Schizosaccharomyces pombe: one gene and its partner. Changing the gene in region 2 together with the main gene of any one other region gives a genetic interaction. Each region holds a gene or a part of one and is shown on either strand. Other genes may lie near its edges.

What was found. Genes that interact genetically often act in the same process or in processes that back each other up.
Region 1: mutations in bit61 (region 2) and apl5 together harm fitness less than expected from each alone (positive genetic interaction), as found in Schizosaccharomyces pombe (one large-scale study listed by BioGRID).

Annotation. Positions count from the first base shown.
Region 1 is NC_003424.3:4,659,122-4,670,237, forward strand, and holds apl5 (AP-3 adaptor complex subunit Apl5), read left to right. Parts: upstream 1-5,212; 5' UTR 5,213-5,265; coding exon 5,266-5,424; exon of another isoform or gene 5,425-5,464; coding exon 5,465-5,626; exon of another isoform or gene 5,627-5,677; coding exon 5,678-7,547; intron 7,548-7,592; coding exon 7,593-7,855; intron 7,856-7,894; coding exon 7,895-7,918; 3' UTR 7,919-8,272; coding exon of another isoform or gene 8,273-9,220; 3' UTR 9,221-9,287; downstream 9,288-11,116. Other genes in the region: irc20 (ATP-dependent DNA helicase), read left to right, coding at 135-3,456, 3,497-3,762, 3,801-4,000, 4,043-4,083, 4,124-4,422; GTPase Gpn2, read right to left, coding at 8,273-9,220; DNAJ domain-containing protein Jac1, read left to right, coding at 9,753-10,430; sfc2 (transcription factor TFIIIA), read right to left, coding at 10,767-11,116. UniProt on the Schizosaccharomyces pombe protein: Part of the AP-3 complex, an adaptor-related complex which is not clathrin-associated. The complex is associated with the Golgi region as well as more peripheral structures.
Region 2 is NC_003421.2:1,608,032-1,619,147, reverse strand, and holds bit61 (Protor homolog, Bit61), read left to right. Parts: upstream 1-6,384; 5' UTR 6,385-6,583; coding exon 6,584-7,852; 3' UTR 7,853-8,101; downstream 8,102-11,116. Other genes in the region: SPOM_SPCC777.17C (mitochondrial ribosomal protein subunit L9), read left to right, coding at 90-179, 229-304, 435-574; SPOM_SPCC777.12C (ER stress response thioredoxin family membrane disulfide oxidoreductase), read left to right, coding at 1,102-1,380, 1,501-1,938; protein Gta3, read right to left, coding at 2,099-2,485; NEDD8-conjugating enzyme Ubc12, read left to right, coding at 3,030-3,120, 3,187-3,282, 3,365-3,453, 3,565-3,712, 3,960-4,069; arg1 (acetylornithine aminotransferase), read left to right, coding at 4,251-4,322, 4,571-5,824; alpha-1,2-mannosyltransferase Omh3, read right to left, coding at 8,122-8,653, 8,734-9,338. UniProt on the Schizosaccharomyces pombe protein: Component of TORC2, which regulates multiple cellular processes to control cell growth in response to environmental signals. TORC2 is required for cell survival under various stress conditions.

The sequences.
Region 1 (11,116 bases), on a different chromosome or scaffold from region 2:
CCTACCCTTTTGTGTTCTTGAGGGTTTATATATTTTCGTTTATTTCTTTGTACATTAAAGAATTCTATTCATTCTAAAATTTTTAAGTCTATTGGTTCAAAACACGACTGTATTTAATTAAGAGAGGGAACATTATGGACCGAACTAAGAGGCGAAAAATAGAGAAGGAGGCTTCCTTACTAAATGAAAGAAACAACCTTTTGGAAAGTGATTTCGCCAATTGCTACCGTGCATTCCAGCACCAACTCAAGCTAGACCAGCAGATATGGCGTGGACCAGAGGACGAGTTAAATCGGCTAAAGTCTACTATTTATCCTGTCGTTTTTTGGGTTGATGGATCTGAGAAACTACATGCATATAGTTTTACTCAAAGAAAAATTTCATTGGCCAAAAACTTGATTCCTTTGTTTTCTGTCGACTTGAATAAGGATACTTACTCTGCTTTAAAAGCACCTCTCAAAATTTGGAGTAAGCTTTGGGAGGATAATAGGCGGCTGAAGAAAATTATAAAATACACATCTTATGTTACTGTAAAAGGATCCGAGTTAATTTTGTCGTTTGGCATTTCCATACTCGACTCTTTTCTTGCCCCTCAAGATGCGATTCTTTCATCTGGATCATCTTCCTCATACACTGCTTTACTAGACTATACGTTCCTTCCGTCTGAAGATGAGGAATATTCTTGTTTAGATATTAACACTGCACTATTTTACGATTGTGCAAGAAAATTGGCAAAAAGCCTACGTTTCGCCAATGTATCACGCGATCCAAGGCTTTCTTCGGAACTTTTACCATTTCAAATGCGTGTTTTAGAATGGATGAAACGAAGAGAAGAAGAGAAATTCCTAACCTCAAATGATTTACCACCTCTATGGTACCATTGCAAAAGTCTTTTTGATGATCGAATGGTTTACGTTAATCATGTTTACGGCTATATGACATTTTCGAAAGAAAAAACATATTTGCTTGCGTCCGGTGATATACGTGGAGGCATTTTAGCCGATGAAATGGGCATGGGAAAAACTTTGGAAGTCTTAGGATTAGTTTTGCATCATCAGTTGCCAATTTCTTTGACTGATACTTGTACTTTCGATCAGGTCGTCGGAAAAAATGTAAAGTATTCCAAGGCCACCCTAATAATTACGCCTTCTACAATTCTCGATCAATGGTTATCTGAGATAGATTTGCATGTGCCATCATTGAAAGTATTCCATTACCAAGGAATCCGAAAATCCAATGGTTTGAAATCAGCTAAAATTTTTTTGGATTGTGATATAGTGGTAACATCTTATTCTGATTTACGGTTTGAGCTATTGTACACTGAATCTCATTCCAGGACCTTAAGACATGAAAAGCGACATGTTTCTCCAAAGTCTCCATTGATTGATGTATGTTGGTGGAGAATTTGTGTTGATGAAGCTCAGATGGTTGAAACTTCACAGAGTAATGTCGCACAAATGATTTATCGCATACCTCGTGTCAATTGTTGGACTGTAAGTGGAACTCCCGTACGTAGTGAAGTTGATGACCTTTTTGGCCTTTTATTTCTTCTTCGCTACTCCCCTATGTATTTATACAAAAAACAAGCTTGGATGCAAATTATAGAGAAGAAACGTGTTCGTGAATTTTGCGATCTGTTTGGCTCCCTTGTATGCAGACATTCTAAACAGGACGTTGAAGAAGAATTAAAATTACCTCCTCAACATCGAATCTGCATGACTACAAGACTTAGTGTAGTAGAAGAAACGAACTACCAGGATTTATTATCAGAGGCGGCCAAGTCTTTGCACTTTTTCAAAGACAGAAATTTGGATTTGTGTGACGAAGAATCTATGAGGCGTTGGTTGGTTCGTTTACGACAGGCATGTTGCCATCCGCAGGTTGGATTTGGTAACAAATCCGCATTTGGAGGTGGACCCATGAAAAGCATTAATGATGTATTAGTTTTTATGTTGGAACAAACAAACTCTACATTCTCCTCGTTAAACAGGAAGCTTTATTCCGATAAGATTATTGTTGGTCAAATATATGATCATATTAAAGACTATAATAAAGCATTGGCTATTTGGTCTGAAGTCAGAATACCTGTCGAGCTCGCTGTCAAAGAATTAGAAAATGTTATTTACAACTCTAAATATGAGGACCATGGTAAAAATTTACCGATTAATTATTTTGGTTTGGATCATTTCATTCATCTGCGTGTTTGGTATGTTCTATTGCATAAAATATACTTTTTTATAGCAAGCGCTTATTTTTCTTTAAAAAACGAAAAGTTTGAAAATGAATTTTATTTGCTCGCGCAGGATTTAAGAAGGAAGATTATGAGTGATGTGATTATCAAAACCAGCAAGCACCTTGAAGAGTTTTCAGAAAAATTTATTCCAAAGAAACTTGTCAAAATACCACGATTACAGAAATCTTACGCAAAAGGTCTCATAACCGGACATGGTATAATTGAAGACTATAATAGACTTTATAAAGAGTTGAATGATCAAAAGGAGGTGCTTATAAAATTTAGAGATCGGCTTATCCATTTGATGAAACTTCCACTTCTGGATCAAGAATCGGATCCGACCGGCGATGAATACGAAGAATCATTGAATGCGCAATCAGAGATATCCTATTGTATTGATGTTTACCGTCAAATGCTTTCAGATCGAGTAGCGGCAGTCAGCGGTACTATTAATACCTTTGTGTCTCATGAAACAGAACTTGAGAAATACAAACTTATAGAGAGTATAAAAAAATCGGAGAAATCGTTAGACAAGCAGGCTGAAGAACGTGATAAAAAATATTTGCTTTACTTTGAGGAAAGGGAAGAAGCAAGGCCAAAAGCAGATCAATACGGATCATTAATAAATATAGTTTCAAGACTGTTAGATGCATCAAATAGATCCACCTCAAGTTTTGAAACTTCTAAAAACATGGAAGAATATGAACGGATTGATGCAATGGCAAAGGAGCAATCTAGAATTTGCCAAAAATTGGAAAAAGAATTGAGTATAATTCAGTTGACTTATAATTCAAGGATTGAGTACTATAAACAGCTGCAGGAAATTTCTGACTCTTTGATGCCTCCTCCCGTTTCAAATATCAGTTTAAACAATTACGTTAAAGACGACGAAAAAAAACAAAAATTTTTGAACTCTGTTATAATTAAAGCTTCGGTGATTTTGGAAAAAGAAATTTCAGAAAAGCAGGACGAAGCAAGTCAAACAACAAACGTAGCAGAACTCGTCAATCAAAAAATATCCGAAATGAATATACCTGGACATATCCATCTGCTGCGAGAGCTAGAAGAGGAAAAAAGCAATACCCAACGTAAAATTGCTCACTTCGAATCAAGGAGAAGGTATTTAACAAACCTATATGAACATATTGTCCTTAAAGCTGAATCTCATCAGATTTGTATAATTTGTCGTGATATAATTAAGCAAGGTTTTATAACAACTTGTGGTAAGTATTTGTTGGATCGTTTATCTAGTTAACTTGTTAGGCCATTTGTACTGTAGTTTTTGTTTGGAAGCGTGGTTGAAGCATAGTTCGTCGTGTCCAATGTGCAAAACCAAATTGAACAAAAATAATGCTTACTATATTGGCGAAAGTAGGGATATATACTCTCGTCAAGAGTTTGTCACTGGTTTCAACAAACGAGACGAAAGGCTTGAAATTCTCGACGATGAAGCATACAGGCAAATTTCTAATATGGAGTTAAAGGAGTCATTTGGATCAAAAATTGACACAATATCTAAACATCTTTTGGTAAGCAACATTTGTATTTAGAGTGGATCTAACTTTAGTATTTGAAACATAACGAACTTTATCCTAAAGTTGTTGTATTCTCTCAATGGCTTGATGTTTTGGATGTTTTGCACAAGTCATTTGAAGCGAATGGTATCGTCTTCATACGTTTTGATGGAAAGTCAAAGAACACTTGCCTAAAAAGGTTTAAAGAAGAACGTAGCTTACAAGTACTTACTTTACATGCAAGATCGCAATCGTATGTTTAAACTGTTTAATTATTTGTTCTAATCTTCATTAGATCTGGTTTGACGTTAACAAATGCCACTCACGTTTTCATGTGTACGTCGATATCTGTATTAACAAGTTTTAACATTGACAGGTGAACCATTACTAAATAGTGGAATTGAAATGCAAGCAATTTCACGCGTTCATCGAATTGGGCAAACTCGTCCGACGTTTGTTTACTACTACATTGTGGAAGATACTGTTGAAGGTCATATTTTAAATCTTTCATTGACCAAACATGAGCAGCTTGACAAACTAGGTTTGGATGTACCGCTAGTTGGTAATATCAATCGCACTACTGAAGCTAGCAGCGGCGGAGAACAAGTTGATGCCGCAGAAATTAAAGATTGTCTTAAAATGGCTTTAAAGCGGCTCACCACAGAGGATTCATGAACATGAAAAAATTGATTTTAGAGAATGATGCTGATAGGTCAGGTTTAAACAGAATAAACGGCAATACTGTACTACTTATTGGTGACAGTGATGTATGGTTAATCCTGAAGTACCCCTTCGCTCAATACTGTTCAATTATTCATCTGTTATTAAAGCAAAGCACGAAGCATTAGTTGGTTTTCACTGGTTAGATTGTGCAAACACTTAGAGTCCGAATTACAGGAAACTTATACTTAATTTAACATTGTACTGTTGTATTAATTATAACCACTTTTTTAAATACAAACCTATGTAAATATTAGAAATTAATATAGCAAGAAAGGTCGCATTTCTCATTCTGGGTATTGGATTAAAACATATTGTCTTTGTTTTTCATTGATATCAGCGATGTTACTGGGCTATTAAATGCGATGTTAATTTATAACTATAACTATAGAATGAACATACGTTTGTGCTACGAATATACACTCGTTGTTATTAAGTTATCTTTTTTTTTTTAATAAAAATGAACAGGACTATTTGAACTATGAAACGTAAGTTCTTTTAGCATCATATTCAATTATAGTTAAACAAAATTGTTTATTACTATTAAAATAACACTGATTATCTTTGGAGACATACTTTATATCAAATTACAATAATTATTAATAAAACTCATTGCAATTTATTTTTCTCAACTGCGTTAGCTAATTCACTGCTACGCGATATAACTAATTAACGATTGCTGCTTCAGCTCGATAATTCCTTTTCGTCAAGGATACATTGCGATATAGTCTTAAGAGAGCAAACTGCATAAAGCCGGCTTTGGGATATATTTAACTGACTGTTGAATTATAAATTGTCATGGTGTTTGAAAGGACACTAATTGACCTAATTAAAGGGATAAGATCTCATGCAAATGATGAGGAAGCATTTATTGCGACTTGTTTACTAGAATGTCGAAAAGAAGCGACATCGCAGGATGCAGATCTTAAATCAGAAGCAATCTTAAAGCTTGCATATGTTCGTTCAACTTTATTTATAAAGTTACTAACAAAAGTAGCTGGAAATGTTAGGGGTGGATATTAGCTGGGCCAGTTTCCAAATCGTTGAGGTAATGTCTTCATCTAAAATTCTTCAGAAGCAGAAAGGGTATCTAGCTGCTGTCCAGTCTTTTAAACCAGATACAGACGTTTTAATGTTAACGACTAATTTGCTTAAGAAGGTATGTTTTTTTTTAATCTGTAAGTATTTACAAAGCTGACGGTTTTATTAGGATCTAATGAGCTCTAAAGTTCCAGAAATTACTCTGGCCATTGACGGTCTCTCACACTTCTCTACATTAGGCCTTGCGCGTGATTTATACCGAGACGTATTGATTCTTTTAAATCATTCCGTACCGTACGTAAGGAAACGTACAATTTTACTCCTATATCGACTATGCTTGCAGTATCCTGAAGCTATTTCAGCTTGCATTCCAAAATTACGTGAACGATTAGACGACCCTGACACTTCCGTTGTAAATGCTGCTGTCAGTGTAATTTGTGAATTAGCGAGAAGAGCTCCTAAAAATTACCTCGAGTTTGCTCCTGATCTTTTCCATCTTCTTACAACTTCCTCAAATAATTGGATGCTCATAAAGCTTATCAAATTATTTGCTTCCTTGACTCCATATGAACCTCGATTGGTGAAGAAATTGATTCCTTCTTTGACAGACATTATTGAGAATACACATGCGATGTCACTTTTATATGAGTGTATCAACACAATAGTTTCCGGTAATATGCTTGTGGGTCACTCTCAATGCGACAAATTGGCAAGCCTTTGTGCTTCAAAATTACGCGGCTTTTTTGAGGACACTGATCAGAATTTAAAATACATCGCTCTTCTTTGTCTTCGTAAGCTTGCAAATACGCATCCTTCCCTTGTTTCTGCTCAATTGGACATCATTCTTAAATGTCTGGTCGATACTGACACTTCAATTCGTTTGCGAGCTTTAGACCTTGTTAACGAAATTGTTAACAAAGAAAATATCCGTACTATCGTTAAAACTTTAATGCTCCAATTAATCGTTTCGTCGGATGAATCAGCAGTTGAAGATATTAGAAACTCAACTGCGACGCGTATAATCGAAATGACTTCTAAATCAACATACATGAATATTGCGGATTTTGAATGGCTTTTGACGGTTTATGTTGATTTAGCCAACATTCCAGGTATTGACACCGGCACATTACTAAATAACCAAATCATTGATTTATGTGTCAGAGTTAAAGCCTTGCGCCCATTTTCTGTAGATATATTTTCCCAGGCCATTTTGGATCCTTCCTATGTATCAACTACTGATTGTTCTGTATCTGAAAAGCGTACCGACATTTTACCTGCCATCATATGGTGCCTCGGTGAATATGCTGAATTTATTGAGGAATATCTTGATATACTTGATGCCTTGACTCGTCCTTCGTTTAAAAAATGTTCAAATCTTGCCCATCGCTTACTTTTACAGGCGATAACTAAAATATTCTGCCAATGGTGTCTTGAAGAGGAACCAACTTGGGGAGTAGAAAAGTTTGGCTTAGTAAAGTTATGGGTTGAGAAGATTGTTTCATTCATTGAACAATTCCTAAATTTTCAGGATATGGAAATTCAGAGAAGAGCCTCAGAATTTTACATTTTGTTTAATCAAGTCAGTGACATTGTTAACACCTCTGATACTATGGAAGTTCTTGAGTTACAAAAGAAGCCTCCATATATCGTACAAAACACTATGTATAAGCTATTTTTTGGCGAACCTTTAAATCCTGTCGCTGTAAAAGCTCAAAGAAAAGTTATGCCTGATGAAAATTTGGATTTAAACTGTCCAATAAATGGCGTAATTGAAGTACCAAAAGAGCTACTTGAAAACATCATCCAAAGTGATGATTCGTTAATTAATTTTGATACAGAAGTACCTTCCTCTGGCATAGACACGTTCTCTAAAAAGCAATTCAATAGTTTAGAGTCTGTTCCTGTACAGCGTGATTTGAGCAGTCCTTTCTACCTTTCTTCGAATCAGCACACTACGACTACTAATTCAGAACCTGAAAATTTAAATGTTGAAACGTCGATGTCAGATGAGGCTTTCAATGCTGATAAAGTGACAAAAGGTTTGTTAATGCTATTGATTATATTGTTTTTGCTAATAATTTTAGTTACAAAAAATAAGAGACGGAGAAAGATTTTTACATCACCTAGTTTACAAGCTATGGTTGTAGCCCAAGACGAAGTGCCCGAAGGAATAAGTTTGGCTGATATTGAAAACAAAGAAAACCCTTCTAATAGTAATGTATACTCCTTAATTTCTTTGGACCCTCCACTTTCTACCAATCAAGGATCAATGGGTGATATTGTGTTGGAAACAAAATCGCCAATTCGCGTTGAAAAAAAGAAATCCAAAAAAAAGAAAAAGAAAAAGGTATGACAATCACTTTACGAAGTAACTAATTATTGAAAGGAAAAAACATCCGGGAAAGAGTAAATTACTGTACTGTTGACCGCTTTTCTTTTTCATTTCGAAATGCATTGTAGATTTATCTTACTTTGAAAAGAGTCTTAAATCCAAAGAAATGTTATTTGGTGCAATTTACAAAGTGTTTATTATAAAAGTGATACATTAAATTTTTGAGATTTACAAAAAGGCTATCTCAATATTTTAAATTTTTACCAAAATTTAACTGTATGGGACTTTGCGAAGTGTGTTTACCGTTGATTGAAAGTATTGTCTTAAAACTAAAACACAGTAGCAAAAGATGAAGATGACACAAGCAAGGTTGAGTAAAATCTTTCAACTTTCAAATAATTCAATTTGCAAATCCTTAGTAGTTCAATGTCATTACCCTTCATTTTCATCTTCGTCCATGGTCGATTTTTGCTCTAATTCCCATTCATATTTGTCATATTCCTCTTTCTTGTCAATCCATCTTTCCTGAGGCGAAATACCTTGAAGAGGGTCTCCACCTTGACGAACGGCATTCACCCAAACGGCATCACCACCAATTTCTGTAGATCCATATGCATATCCACCTGCTTGATCGATTTTTCGAAGAACACGTAACATACTGGCTTTATTTTCTACTGCAACAACTTCAAAAGAAACAAGATTAAAATCTTCAACAAGTTCACAAATAGCTTTGTTTAAATCACTATAGCGCTGAAGACGTTTATCTCTATCAAGCAAAGGCGCCAAATATGAAAGGTCTTGTACTTCGGTAAAAAAATCTAGTTTCATTGGTAAAGTTCCATACGTACAAAGCAAATCAGCCTTCGACAAAATATTTACATGTGGCATGTCCAGCTGAAGCATCCCCTTTAGGCAAACAAGCAGTGCACTAACATATGCAGAAGGATTCGTGCAGCAATATGCATCTACAAGTTGTACGGACACAGGTCTATAATCCAGTTCCTTTTCCAAAGTTTTGATTATTTTTTGTAAGGAATTATGGTTTGTAAATAACTCAACTTGACCAGGGCAATCAAATATCACATATGAATCTCGATGCTTTTTTAGCTCCTTAAGCAACCATTCAACGTGATATTCAATTGCTTCCATAGCATAAATAAGTGCTCCATTTGGTCCTAAATCATAGTCTTTTTGGATCATCTCAACATCGAGAACTTTACGAATATCAATTGCGCATGGGTATTTGATAAAGTCATTTGCTGGGTCAAGATTGACGATAATACTACTCCTTCCTATGGCAGATAATAATTGGTACATTCCGAAACAGTAAGTTGATTTCCCAGAACCCGGAGGTCCAACGACCACTTGACAAAATGGCATGCTGCTCTAAAGTACAACAATTAGAACCAAATGTGTAATTCCTTTTGCAGTATATTAAAAATGTTTTTCATAAGTTTTTTGAAAGATAATACTTTTGTAGTATGTATTGATATATCAAAATTTGATATTTAAAAAAAAAAAAAGGAAAAAAAACTGAAAATACAAAGATTGGTAGAATTTCCTTAAATTTTTCAAATGTAGACGTTAAATTCACCGAACTGCCTTGGTTTTAGGAATATTTAGCTTGGAACAGAGGTTTCCAGGGTCTCTGCTTTTTAGTAAGATGTCCGAACTAATCTCACTGTTCTTAAGAGATGATTTCGAAAAACAATTGATGTTAACTTTGAATGATTATATTTCCTTATGTAATATTGAAGTTTGAGATGACATTTAAAGAGTTGTGGCAGTTATTGAAATTTGGCAATAACAACAGCAGTTACAAGTCAACTCTTGATACCTTTTTTTTTCAACTACTTGAAATTCTAATTATTCACTTTGGATTTGCATAATTTCTTTTTTTTTTGTATCATAAATGTTAAAGCAAGCTGGAAACCAGAGCTTTAGGCCCTTTATTTCTTTTGCACAGAAGAGTTTATTCAATCGACAAATTACTGGAAATCATTGGATTTTTGCTCGCTTCAAATTTTATCCTTTAAATAAAATTGTTAATTATAATCATTTTCATAGTTCATCATGCCAGTCAGAGGCTAAAAACTTTTACAAACAATTTGAAGGAGATATCTCGGATCCGCCTCCTAAAGGTCCGTTTGATATTGATTTGGGAGCATTAAAGTCAAGCTATTTAAGAAAAATGAAAACATTACATCCTGATGTTGCTCAGGGAAAAGACGCTGCCTTAGCTCAAAGAGATTCTGCAGAATTATCGAAAGCTTATAACACCTTAAAAGCTCCATTGACTCGAGCGGAATATATTCTCCAGCTTCAAGGAATTAACCCAGTTTCTGAAGATATTTCTAACAGTGACCCTGAATTTTTGATGGAAATCATGGATGTACATGAAAACATTTCCGCTTCAAGGGATTCGCCAGAGAAACTCCTACAGCTAAGTCAAGAAAATCAGGGTAGAAAAGTTCAGGAAATTAATGAAATACGGAAAGCAATGGAGTCTTCAAATTGGGATAGTGCTCTGCTATATGTCAATCGGCTCCGATATTGGAATACAATTGACAAAATCCTTCACGATTTATAATATGAATTGATTACTTAACTGTAATTACAAGATTTTATTAACAACCCTTAATTTGAAATGTGAGAGAACCCCTGTATTCAAAAATATTTGAAGCATGAAAGGTTGCATTTCTAAATCTGCATTAAAAAATTTTATATTATTCAATTCGACGATTCAAAGGTATGAGTCTCTTATATTTTAAAAGAATGTATTGACATCAAAGATTGACTAAACCAAAAGCAAAAAAAAAGATAGAGGTTGCTTATAAATTTATTATGAAGAGAAGCTAAAACATGGCTTTGTCACATTTATGCTAAACTTTTCCGTTTTAGAATAAATTGAAGTAAGGATCGTCGTTCAGTGATGGGAATTAAGGTGTCTATGCATATCATATAGCCGTTTGAACCGGTAATTGCATTCTGGAAAGGAACAGCTGTATTCTCGGGCTTCTTTATATCCATGCCCGGTAACTTCGTTGATTATTTTTTTAGCCACGTCAGATACTAAGTTTGAACTCAATTCTTTCTCTTTTTGGTCGTGAATTGCGACCCCCTCTATTCCATCATGTTTGATTCCACATTCATTAATGTATGGTTTATGAGCTTTTTTACAAGTGCCGCGCTCCAGGTGTCGTTGCAGCATATGTTTATATCCAAATTTGGTACCACAGCTATCACAATGAAATGCCATATTACCTTCGTGTATTA
Region 2 (11,116 bases):
CATTCAATTGAGAATTTATTTAAGCTGCTTTTCTTTTTATTTTGTAAAAACTTTCTTGACGGATTTCTTGGTGCACCCATTTAATTGAAATGAGTATTATGAAACCGACAACTCGATTTTTTCGCTTCAATTCCCTTGAACTAGCAGTCTCACCTTTTCAAAGAATTTATGGGCAACTGGTATGTCAAGCTTATAAAAAAAATCACCGTTACTTACACAGTTATTTAGAGGTTTCTTCGTAAACAGCCAAAACCGTTTTTGGTAAAACTGTTAAACAACGAAGTTTCAAAGCTAGGAAGGCAAGGTATGCTAAATTTTTCATAATTATAATGTTCTTCATTTCAAACCTATAATAGGGAGGTAGTGGTTACATCCTTTTATTATAAGAAATGCATTCTTTTAGCCGTCGTAGGAAACTACTAACTTTACAAAAGGTGATGTCGTCTCAGTGACAAGGGGATATTATCGAAATACACTTTTCCCCAAGAAGCAAGCGATTGCTGTTGATGCCTTAAAATCTATGAAAGCACATTTGTTACAAGGGTCCGAATTCTCGACGAAAACGAAGGAATAATAATACCTAAACTCTCACTTAGTTCAATCAACATAAAAAGAATTTATTGAGTTTATTAGTGGATTAATTAAGGCTTAGCTAGCTGCAATTTGAACAATTCTAGCTTTTCATTACGAGATATTGTTACATTACTAACAAGAATTACGAAGTATTCAGCATTGACTTTTTTCTATAAAAAAATATAAAAAATTTAATTAAAAGGCTTCACTAGAAGCGTAGTCTCTTTCTGAGTTTGAATATTATCGTTATTGTAATATTTTATCAGGGTTGATGCTTAGTGTTTCTCAATTACAATAACAAGCTTTGGATTTTCCTATAATAGTATAGTTAATATGAAATTTAAATCCTTGAATGGTAAACGTTTACTGCGTATTGTGCGGCCATCGTTTCTGCTCTATCAGCTCGTCTAGCATCTTCTTCTCACAGCTACCAACTATTTTGAGTTGGATCCAAAATCATCTCATAACTCGTGTTTATTATTGCTAAAGCAGCAGAGAAAATATTTTTCATTACCTTATTCAGCTTCAATGAAAATTAATTTGTTTTTTGTGTTTCTATTTGAACTTCTGCATTTCGTGGCAGCTTATAGTTGTGAAGGAGATGAATCAGCTGCCATTGAAGCTATGAATGTCTTACAGGTACCGTATGAAAAATACAACACAGACCCAGTTTGCGCTTTTGACAATTCCACCGTTGTCGAACTTTCAGATAAAACCTGGGATCATGTCATTGAATCTGGCAAATGGTTTGTGCAGTTGACTGCTGAAGGCTGTGCTAACTGTACTCTTGGAGAGCTACTTTTTAACGTAAGTAATGGACTGCATTTAATGTTGTCCAAATGCTCTTGTTATGAGATTGAATTTTGAGCCTCGGAAATAAATTAAACCATCTTTGGATTTAATTGAATCTGTACTAACTAATTTTAGGACCTTTCGCATGCTTTTCATGAAAAATATCCGGATGTCCACTTTGCCCGTGTTTACTTGAGCAGTAGCCTCGAACTTTCTGTACGCTTACTCATTTCTCGGATTCCTTCTTATTATTTCATCGATAATCAAAATTTCTACCGTGTTTCTCCTCAGGTTCTTCCCAAGAACAAGGCAATCGCCTTATATGAAAAAGACGGGTTCAAAAGTATGAAAAAAGAGCAAGGTTTTTTCTCTGTTAACGGGCCCTTGAAGTCCTTTTACTGGGTCTTTGGAAAGGCACTTGCACTTTACGGACACTTAAGTCAAAAATACACCCCTCTTGGAATGAATGTAGCTATTTTTGGGATCTCTGCCTACATAATGTATCGCTCTAGCAAAAAAGCGAAACAAAAACAAGCCGCTGCTGCTGCCGCCGCCGCTGCAAAAAAGAAATAAGCTATGTGGAAAATACTATTAGTTTTTGATAATATCAATTTTTTGAATAATTATACGAGAGTTTGTTACATGTTCTATATGTAAGGCACCGCTCTAGTAAAGGTTTATACCCTATTTGTTTCATTCCTTCCTTTTTTAACAGAACGTAGATTTTCCAACCTTATTGCTTGTTTGGAGATTCATTAGAGGAATCATCTTTTAGCTTAGAATAAACGGCAAAGTACTGCCCGTCTCTTTTCTTAGCATTCTGAAATACATTCCACGGCTCTTGATCGGGTAATGATGGTAGAGATTCCGCATTAATAGCATGATTCAAAGTACGAAATGGTTCCTTAATGAAGGATGTATCAAGTCTCTCAATTGCATGCATTTGAATGATTCCTTCGTTGAGTTTTAGAATTGTTCTTTCATTCTCTTCCTTAGAGTCTGCTTCACGAAGACCAACGAGCCTCAGCAAATGACCATACTCAGTTAAGCCAATTGGTTTGGGTGGATTTCCTTGGAGAATTCGTTTAAGTGAAACCTTTGAAGGTTTCAAAAATGGCATAGTGAAAAGGAAAATAGAGCTAATTACAAGAGAAAAATATAGTACAGGTTAAAAAAAAGATTCAATCTTAAACACTTTGTAAGTTTTTCAAATGCTTTGAAACAGCTGTCGAAGTTGTAGTCGGTTCCTACAATTTAACGACTAGGTTGTAAGTCTGGGTTTTTTTAGAATTAATAGTAAAGGAATATATTAAATCATTCGGTAAGTAAAGTCAATATAATCAGCTTCTCTAATTAGGAGAACTATTTTTCATTACTATGATAACCGTTTCCCATTCCCTAAATTTACGACATCCTGCGATGTCTGTATATAACTTTACATAGCAGTGTTCCAGTACGTAATATTGTTGAATGCTTGCGTAGAGTAACGACTTTATTAAAATTGGTTATTGCAATTGAATAAGGTAATATAAAATGCCACATTATTAGCACTTTAGGTGTCTACATGTTTCGCTATTTTTTAATGATGTATGAGAGTATTGTTTATACCCAAAATTGTAAGCGCATTTTCCATCCTTCTGCCTATTACAAGAATCGCGTAAATCATGAGAAAAATTTGGGAATTAAAAAAGAAAGAAGCTCAAAAAGAGAAAAATGCGTCAGGGATTAGTCCAGCACAAATCCGAATCCAAAAAGGTGCGACTCATCATGTTGATAACTTTTCGCGATTTACTCGAAACTAACCATTTTCGATGAATTTAGACGTTACAGATTTAGAAATCCCATCTACGATGTCTACAAGCTGGCCAGATCCTATAAAATTGAACGTGCTACATTTAGAAATCCGGCCTGACGAAGGTAAGTTTGTGATTCCGCATGAAAGAATATTTGGTGTAGACTTTTTGAGACTATTATTTTTTATTTTGATTAACATGAAAAGGGTATTACAAGGGTGGGAAATTTAAATTTCGAATCCAAATCGACGATAATTATCCTCATGATCCTCCTAAGGTTAAATGTCTAAACAAAGTATGTCAGTCATGCTCTAAATTAGAGTTGCAGCTTATGGTATATTTTTTGCATTTAAGAAAATAACCATTATAACATGTTTTGAACCCTTTCGTTCTGACCTACTGTTAGATCTATCACCCAAATATCGATATTGAGGGAAACGTATGCCTCAATATTCTGCGTCAGGATTGGAATCCAGTGTTGAATTTGAATTCTATTTTGGTTGGATTGCAATTTTTATTCTTGTCACCAAACGCAGAAGATCCACTCAACAAAGGTAGGTTAATTACAATTTTTTGGGGGGCAATGAACTATTTCTTGTTATTGCATTACAAGGAAATGATTATTCATCTCTTAACTATCATTTGATACTCATTTTTTCTACGATCCTTTATTATGGGATTTATAAGGTTCTTTACTGAGGACAATGATTATGATAAGCAATTTTAATATAAGAAATCTGGTTTGCTCCTTAACAAATTTTCTAGATTTATTTAACTATACTAACAAACGATATCTTTTAGAGGCGGCGGCTGATTTGCATAAAGACCCTCAAGGATTTGCATCTCGTGTGCGTACAGCCATGAAAGGTGGTCTTGTGAATGGAATTTCTTTTGACAATGTCATGGCTTAATTTTTCATCAATCTAAATCAATTCGATAAAGATAACCGACATAGATTAGACGACTGTCATGAAAATATTGATGTGTTTTAAATCTCGCTAAATCAGTCACGATTACGATGAACTTCCGATATCAGTATAAAAACACATAACCAGAACCAAACCCCCCTAATAAGCCCGTAACTGCTTTACAATGTTTCAAAGACGATCACTTCTCTCTGTTCGTTCGTCTGGTTCCCAAATCGCCTTTCGTCGATTTGTCAGCGTAAGTACAAGTTTGTTGATAGAGTATGCATTGTAAGTGCAACTGAACATACGATGGCAAATAATTAGACTATCATCTAATTCTGATTGTTTTCGAGAATTCTGTACTTTGCTCTTGTTTTTAGACAAGTATTGATGTTGAGAATGCTTCTTACTGACCCAACAAAATAAATCTTCATTTGTGCTTTCATACTGCCTCATACAGTACTAATTTTAATATTTCTTAAACTGCTTATTAACCAAGTTTAGCTTACCCACAAAGATCCAACTCCTGATACAACCAGTTGCAATATTATCAAGAAGGAAGGGGCGAATATTATATCAGTTTATGCACGCTATCCAGTCGTAGCTGCTAAAGGTGAGGGCTCCTATTTGTTTGACAAGGAAGGTCGTAAATACATTGACTTCACCTCTGGCGTAGCTGTTACATCTTTGGGTCATGCTCATCCTGAAGTTGCTAGACTTGCCGCTGATCAATGCTCCAAATTAGTCCATAGTAGCAACCTTTTCTACAACGAGCCTGCCATTGAGCTATCTAATGTCATTAATAATTCTTTGGCAAAAAATAGCGGTATTGCTGGCCCCACAAAAATTTTCTTTGCCAATTGTGGTACTGAGGCCAATGAGACAGCCTTGAAGTTCGCTCGTAAGGCAGCGTTTGAGAAGTATGGAGAAGGGAAGAGTCAAATTGTTTACTTTAATAACTCTTTCCACGGCCGTTCTTTGGGATCTCTTAGTATCACTGCGAACCCCAAATATAAACGTGGTTTCCAACCATTACTTCCTGATGTCGTCCAAGCCGTCTATAATGACCCTGCATCCATAGAGCAATTTGTCAATGACAAAACTGCGGCTGTTATTGTCGAGCCCGTTCAAGGTGAAGGTGGTATTTGTCCTGCCAAGCCTGAATTTTTGATTGCTTTGCGCAAGGCCTGTGATAAGGTTGGTGCTTCTTTAATCTATGATGAAATTCAATGCGGACTTGGTCGCAGCGGTGATCTTTGGGCCCATAGTATCGTTAAGGATGTCGCTAGTCCCGATATTATCACAGTTGCCAAACCTTTGGCTAATGGTCTACCTATCGGCGCCACCATTGTCTCCAGTAAGATCGCTGCTGAAATTCACCCTGGTGAACATGGCAGTACTTTCGGAGGTAATCCTGTTGCTTGCCGTGTAGGCACATTCTGTGTTAATGAATTAGGGTCATCCAAGATTCTACAAAACGTTAGAAAGCAACACAAGGCTCTTACTTCACGTTTTGATGACTTTGTTGCCAAATACCCTAATCTTATTCGTGGATATGCTGGTCGTGGTCTTCTTCTTGGTTTGCAATTTACCGAGCCCCCTGCTAAATTTATTGAGCTTGCTCGTCAACAAGGTCTTTTACTCTTACCAGGTGGAAACAACAACACCCGTGTCCTTCCTAGTTTGAATGTTAAAGATGAGGTTATTGCTAAGGGTTTGGATATCATGGAGAGCACTTTGAAGGCTTTAAGTAAGTAAAAGTGTATGTTTTCGTAGACTTGGTCATTGAATGGATTGGTTATATAGTGCGATAAAAAGTGATTATTACGAGAAATCTTGTTCCTCGAAAACATATATTAACCTTGCTCTCATTTGCCAACCAAAAAATTTTTTGATAGGGGGGTTACGAAAAGCTTAGCTGGAAGCTTTACATTGTAAATACTGGTTTTCGTTATTCCCTTTCTTTTCATAATCAATTTTGTTTACATTTTTTGTTAGAAAATTAGATATATATTGTTGTTTTTCATCTACTAAACTGAATTGTCGTAATATGTACCGTAAATACTCTGTCAAATGATAGTAATTCACAAAATCAATGTTTTTTTACTGCGTTTTCTATTACTAACTTTTAAAAAGTTATATAGCAAATAACATTCCATGTTTTCTTTTAGCATTAACTATTTTTTTCTTTGGCATACAATTATTATATCAACATGCTATTCATTCAATTCACATTAGAACGATATCGTTATAAGGAATTCTTAATCAATTTTTCGTTTCTATATTTTATCTTAATTTAAGGCGCACATCGATACTTTAGCAAAATACCACCATATTCAAAAATAAACAAAATTTTTTATCTTTCTAAAAAATATCATTTTTTTAAGTAAGTTTAATCATTTTATAATGATTGAACAATGAATATCATCTCATGCTTATTTTGAAGAATCGCATTTCGCGTAACTAAAAGCAAATTTCTTGGATACCCTCAGTACATTTCCAAAAATATTACTAAAGATGGTAGGGAGGGGATCTTTTTCATCTACCTCGAGCGCCTCATCCATTAATTGGATTCCAAAAAACACTAAAACTAGCATTGAAAGTGTTTCTAACACTATTTCGTTGTCGGAAAATGGGCAGAACCAAGACTTGGAGACTGTTACTACTAAGGAATCAAACGTTGGCGACTCTGACACGACTGAAAACATTAAAAGTCCGTTTAATGGACAATGGCCATTTAGCAGAAGATCTAGTCAAAGTAGCAGTCATCCGGTTTTTGAGGAAACACATTGGAGTAAGCATTCCAAGCGCCCAGGAAAGTTGAACGTTTTAACGCCTACTAGCCCTTCTAATGTTAATGCCGAAGTTCAAAGTATTTCTACGAAAACTCAATTATCGCTGCTTAACCTCTCTCCGCATAAGCATAAAAAGCCTAAAGATGGTTTAGATCTTTCTGCTTTGCAGAAAACGCTCAACGGGTCTCGAAATTTCTTAAGAGGAAGAAGAGACGCTGGGGGAATTTTTGGCGCTTCCATCCCACAATCACTTGTTACAAATCAAATAATCAATGGCTTCGGTGCAGCCTCTCTTGCATTTGCTAAATTGGGCAAAGTTCGCTCTCCTTTAGAAGGTCGCTTTAACCTGGTTCCCATATCCGCGGATGAAACTTGGCTTATTGTGGAATCCGAAGTTTGTAGTTTATATTCGGGTGAGGCTTTGCACTATTCTCTTGAAGATTTGAATGGAATTCTTATATTACATTTACAAGCTCTTATCCGTGATACGAAGATGAATGAGTTTGTTGGACACTTGGAGACACTATTCCGTAAGGCTACCAAGTGCCTTTCGGACAGTTTATCGCCTGTTCCAGAAGAATTATTTTTGAATCGTATCATAGAAACATGGCTGTTTTTCTTTTCTTCCGTATTGCCATACGTTCAAGGTGTGTTTTTACCTATAAAGACAAAATTGTTTGATGAACAAGAAAAAACACAATTACCCTATGAAGTAAATGAGTTTTGTTCCACAAATAGGGAAAAACTAAATGTCCATCGTCTTGCATTGATGACATTTCGCGATTATATGGTTTTGCCAATTGCAAATCGGATACAAATCTGTATTGGGCGTGCCGAATCTGCTGAAAATGCTTTAGATAATGCAGGAGAGGTGTTCGCTCGACTGTTTCAGATATTAAGTTTGTTGGCAAGTGTACGAACGAACGATTCCAAGGAACAAGAAATTACTAATTTGGCAACTAAAGTCAGATGCCTGTTGATAGCTTCCTAAATTCATTCTTAGATTTTTTATATTATTTTTCCTTTTTAAAATCGTTTCAGTTTTTTTTTTTACCTTCTTATTTTATAGGGTCCACACTTTTCAATATTTGCAAATTGTTCTAAAACTTAAAAAATTTGTGTCAATACTTGATATTCCCAGTCTTTTGTTTTCATCATTAGTTAACGATCAGCTTTTGTTTATGTCCACAATAAATATGTTTTTAAAACAAATATCAAAAATAAAATAGGTAATCTCGGGAATTACAAGTAATATGTATTTTAACTATTGATGTTTTCTAACCATTTAATAGCACAAGAGAAGGGTAAATAATCAATCGTACCAGTCGGATCGCATAGACATCTAGCTGTCGCATGCGACTGTACATCCGTAGGGCAATGGTACCAGGGTAAATGGTAATAACCAAAGTCCTCAAAGTAATGTATTTGCGATTTGTTCAGAAATAGCGATGCTGCCAGTGAATGTACGGGAGCATCCCCCCAGCGCTCGTAAAAAAATCCATAATTTTTATCTAAGTGCGCAAAGTAGTCTGTGTATGCAGGACTTCGAAAGAAATTTAAATTGGCAATTTCAAAATTACTCCAAAAATGGCAGAGATTGTAGTCACCACTTAACCCCTGGTGGTCATTAACGATAAAATCCAAGGAGTTATTTTGTGCAAGATATTGTGGGTTTTGGTGAATAAAATCTCGAGTAACGTTCCATAAAGAAGGGAGGGTTTCATAATAATCCGTCATTGATATGACAAACCCATACGCCTTATTCTCGTCACTCAACTTTCGAAAAGGATCACTTAAAGAATTGGTTAGTGACAAAATTCTATCATATTACAAAAACAAGAGTTAAATAGTCAATTTTTCTTGTGCACTTACTAAGGTATATCGCAAGAATATTCAACGCCGGGTTCAACGCGCCAGTAATAATCATAATGTGAAAGGGCTTTGTTTCGATAAAAAAATCCTGAATTGAAGCGACACATGATCCGATAACTCAGTGAAAATCCATATATTACTTTGTCATCGGTCATATCCCGAATTGATTTCAACATACGATTTAAATCGATGTTTATAGGAATTCCCCACTCTTCGTTGTTGAGTTGGACATAGGTAGCATCCCCACTCACCATTTTTGAAGTAGCTGTTATAAATTCTTTAGTAAAAGGGGCATCATTCATAAATGTCCATGGGTAATGATAGCGATGATTGAACCGATCCTCGACGCTTTGTATGGAAACAAGAGCGTCCTTAATGTCTCTATTACGGCAAAGCATAAACAAAGTAGCGTTCATATTGGGCTGCTTAGGAAAATAATCTGAATCTGTCAAGGATGACTCTCCTCTTTGCTTTGCTGTGGCTTTTTTTAGAAATACATACTTGACTTTTAGTTCCTTAGGCCCATCTTTAGAAGACTGTAAATAGAATGAAATAATGCAGAATAATAGTATACAAAAATAAATTGATGATTTGGGTATGCCCATGTTGAAGTCATGAATATGGCCCCCTTATATTAGGATTTCTTATTAAATCGCGGAAGTTTTTTTTTTATTGATTGTGAATGAACTTTATAACATGGTTCGATTGTGTAAGATACGCCAGTTTGCAATATTTTCGCAAGCAATCAATCTGATATGAAATAACTCGTTGGACTAAATCAACATTAGATTTGTAAACAATCAGTAACAATTTTGGTTTATAAACGATCATTTGGGAATGTTTTAAATTTCAGCTTTTGCTAATTCCAAACAAAGTCTTTAGAAAGATAGAGGGATTGTTTTTTAACTGGTTATGCAATATACAGCTCAAAACTGTTCCACTCTTTCACACTTTTTCTCTCTTACCTTCTAGTTAAGGATACCAGAACAACATATATTTAAAATTATTTTCCACAATTGGTAACTTCTAGGCAAAGGTAAACGATTCGAGATATACTGTAAACGTTGCTCGAAATGAAATAATCGTCAAAGGTTGGAATATCCATATTTGAACAAGTATGGTTGGTGTAGCGGATTGTCTTACTGTACGTTATTCGATAAACATTGAATAGCTTTTTTTTTTTAACTGAGGTTACGCAAAGAAACAATTTAATGGAAAGTAGTTCATTTTAAATACACTCAATTCTCGTTTCTTTTTAACAGCTCCGTCCATGGCAGATTAGCGCCTATAATAATGAATAACCCCAAATAATTTGCATAATTCTGAGAAAGTAGTTTTGCTAGCTAGTATCCTAGGTTCACTTTTTTAGTTTTTTTAGTACAATAATTTTGAAGCTTTACCAAAGATTCCACCATAACATAAACAAATATTTAAACTCAACCAGCTCGAAATTCAGTAACGCGCTCTACCATATTTTGGAATACATATGAACTCTCTTGACATTAATCTTGGGAATAGTAGTTCTTGAAAAGTCATAAACAGAGGATTTAGGTTTTCTTGGTGATTTCTATTAACTACCAGCTAAAATACTCGGCTCAAACTGTATGATGGCAAGTATATTATACTACACTCGCTTCGCAAATACCTTATGCTTGATAAAGTTTTACAAGCGATGAATGATTTTTTATTTTATTTTCTTTATTTTTATTTGTATTTTATATTCATTTAATATATGTATATATTATTAATTTATTTTACTTTGTCGTAGTCAATTTTTTTTTTATTTTACAGTGATTCATTGCTTCTATAATTTTTAAAACAATCCAGAATATTTAAATTATAGTGTCTAGATATAACAAATGAATTCGATATCTCACGAATTGATTGCTATTATATATACTTTGAAAATAGCAAGTGAACTTTTGTTTTTACGAGGAATTTTTCTTTACAATGTCTTTTTTTCCTTTTTTCCATTACTTTCAAAGTTTATTCAAAATCAATATTGTTTTACTAATACTGCAACAAGCAATGTATAGTAATCAGCAGTTACAAATATATCAAAAATTGTTATAATAATTCATGAGTGTGTAATTCAGTAATTAATTAAAATATTTGATATCCAATTGTTTATTTCGTAGTATTTAGAAATTCATTCGTAGTCGCAACACATCTAGTTCTTAAAAGATGTTTTTAAATTAAATATTTCGAAAGTTTAATTATTGGTTTACCAATGTTTTGTATTTGCATTTACGTTGTCTTAACGTACAATTAAAATTTAATTATTTTATGAATTTCATTTACCAATTGATTTTATACCGCAGCGAGGAAATAAATAATCGCTAAACCGTATATTGTAAAACTAAACAATTCGATATTAGAAAGA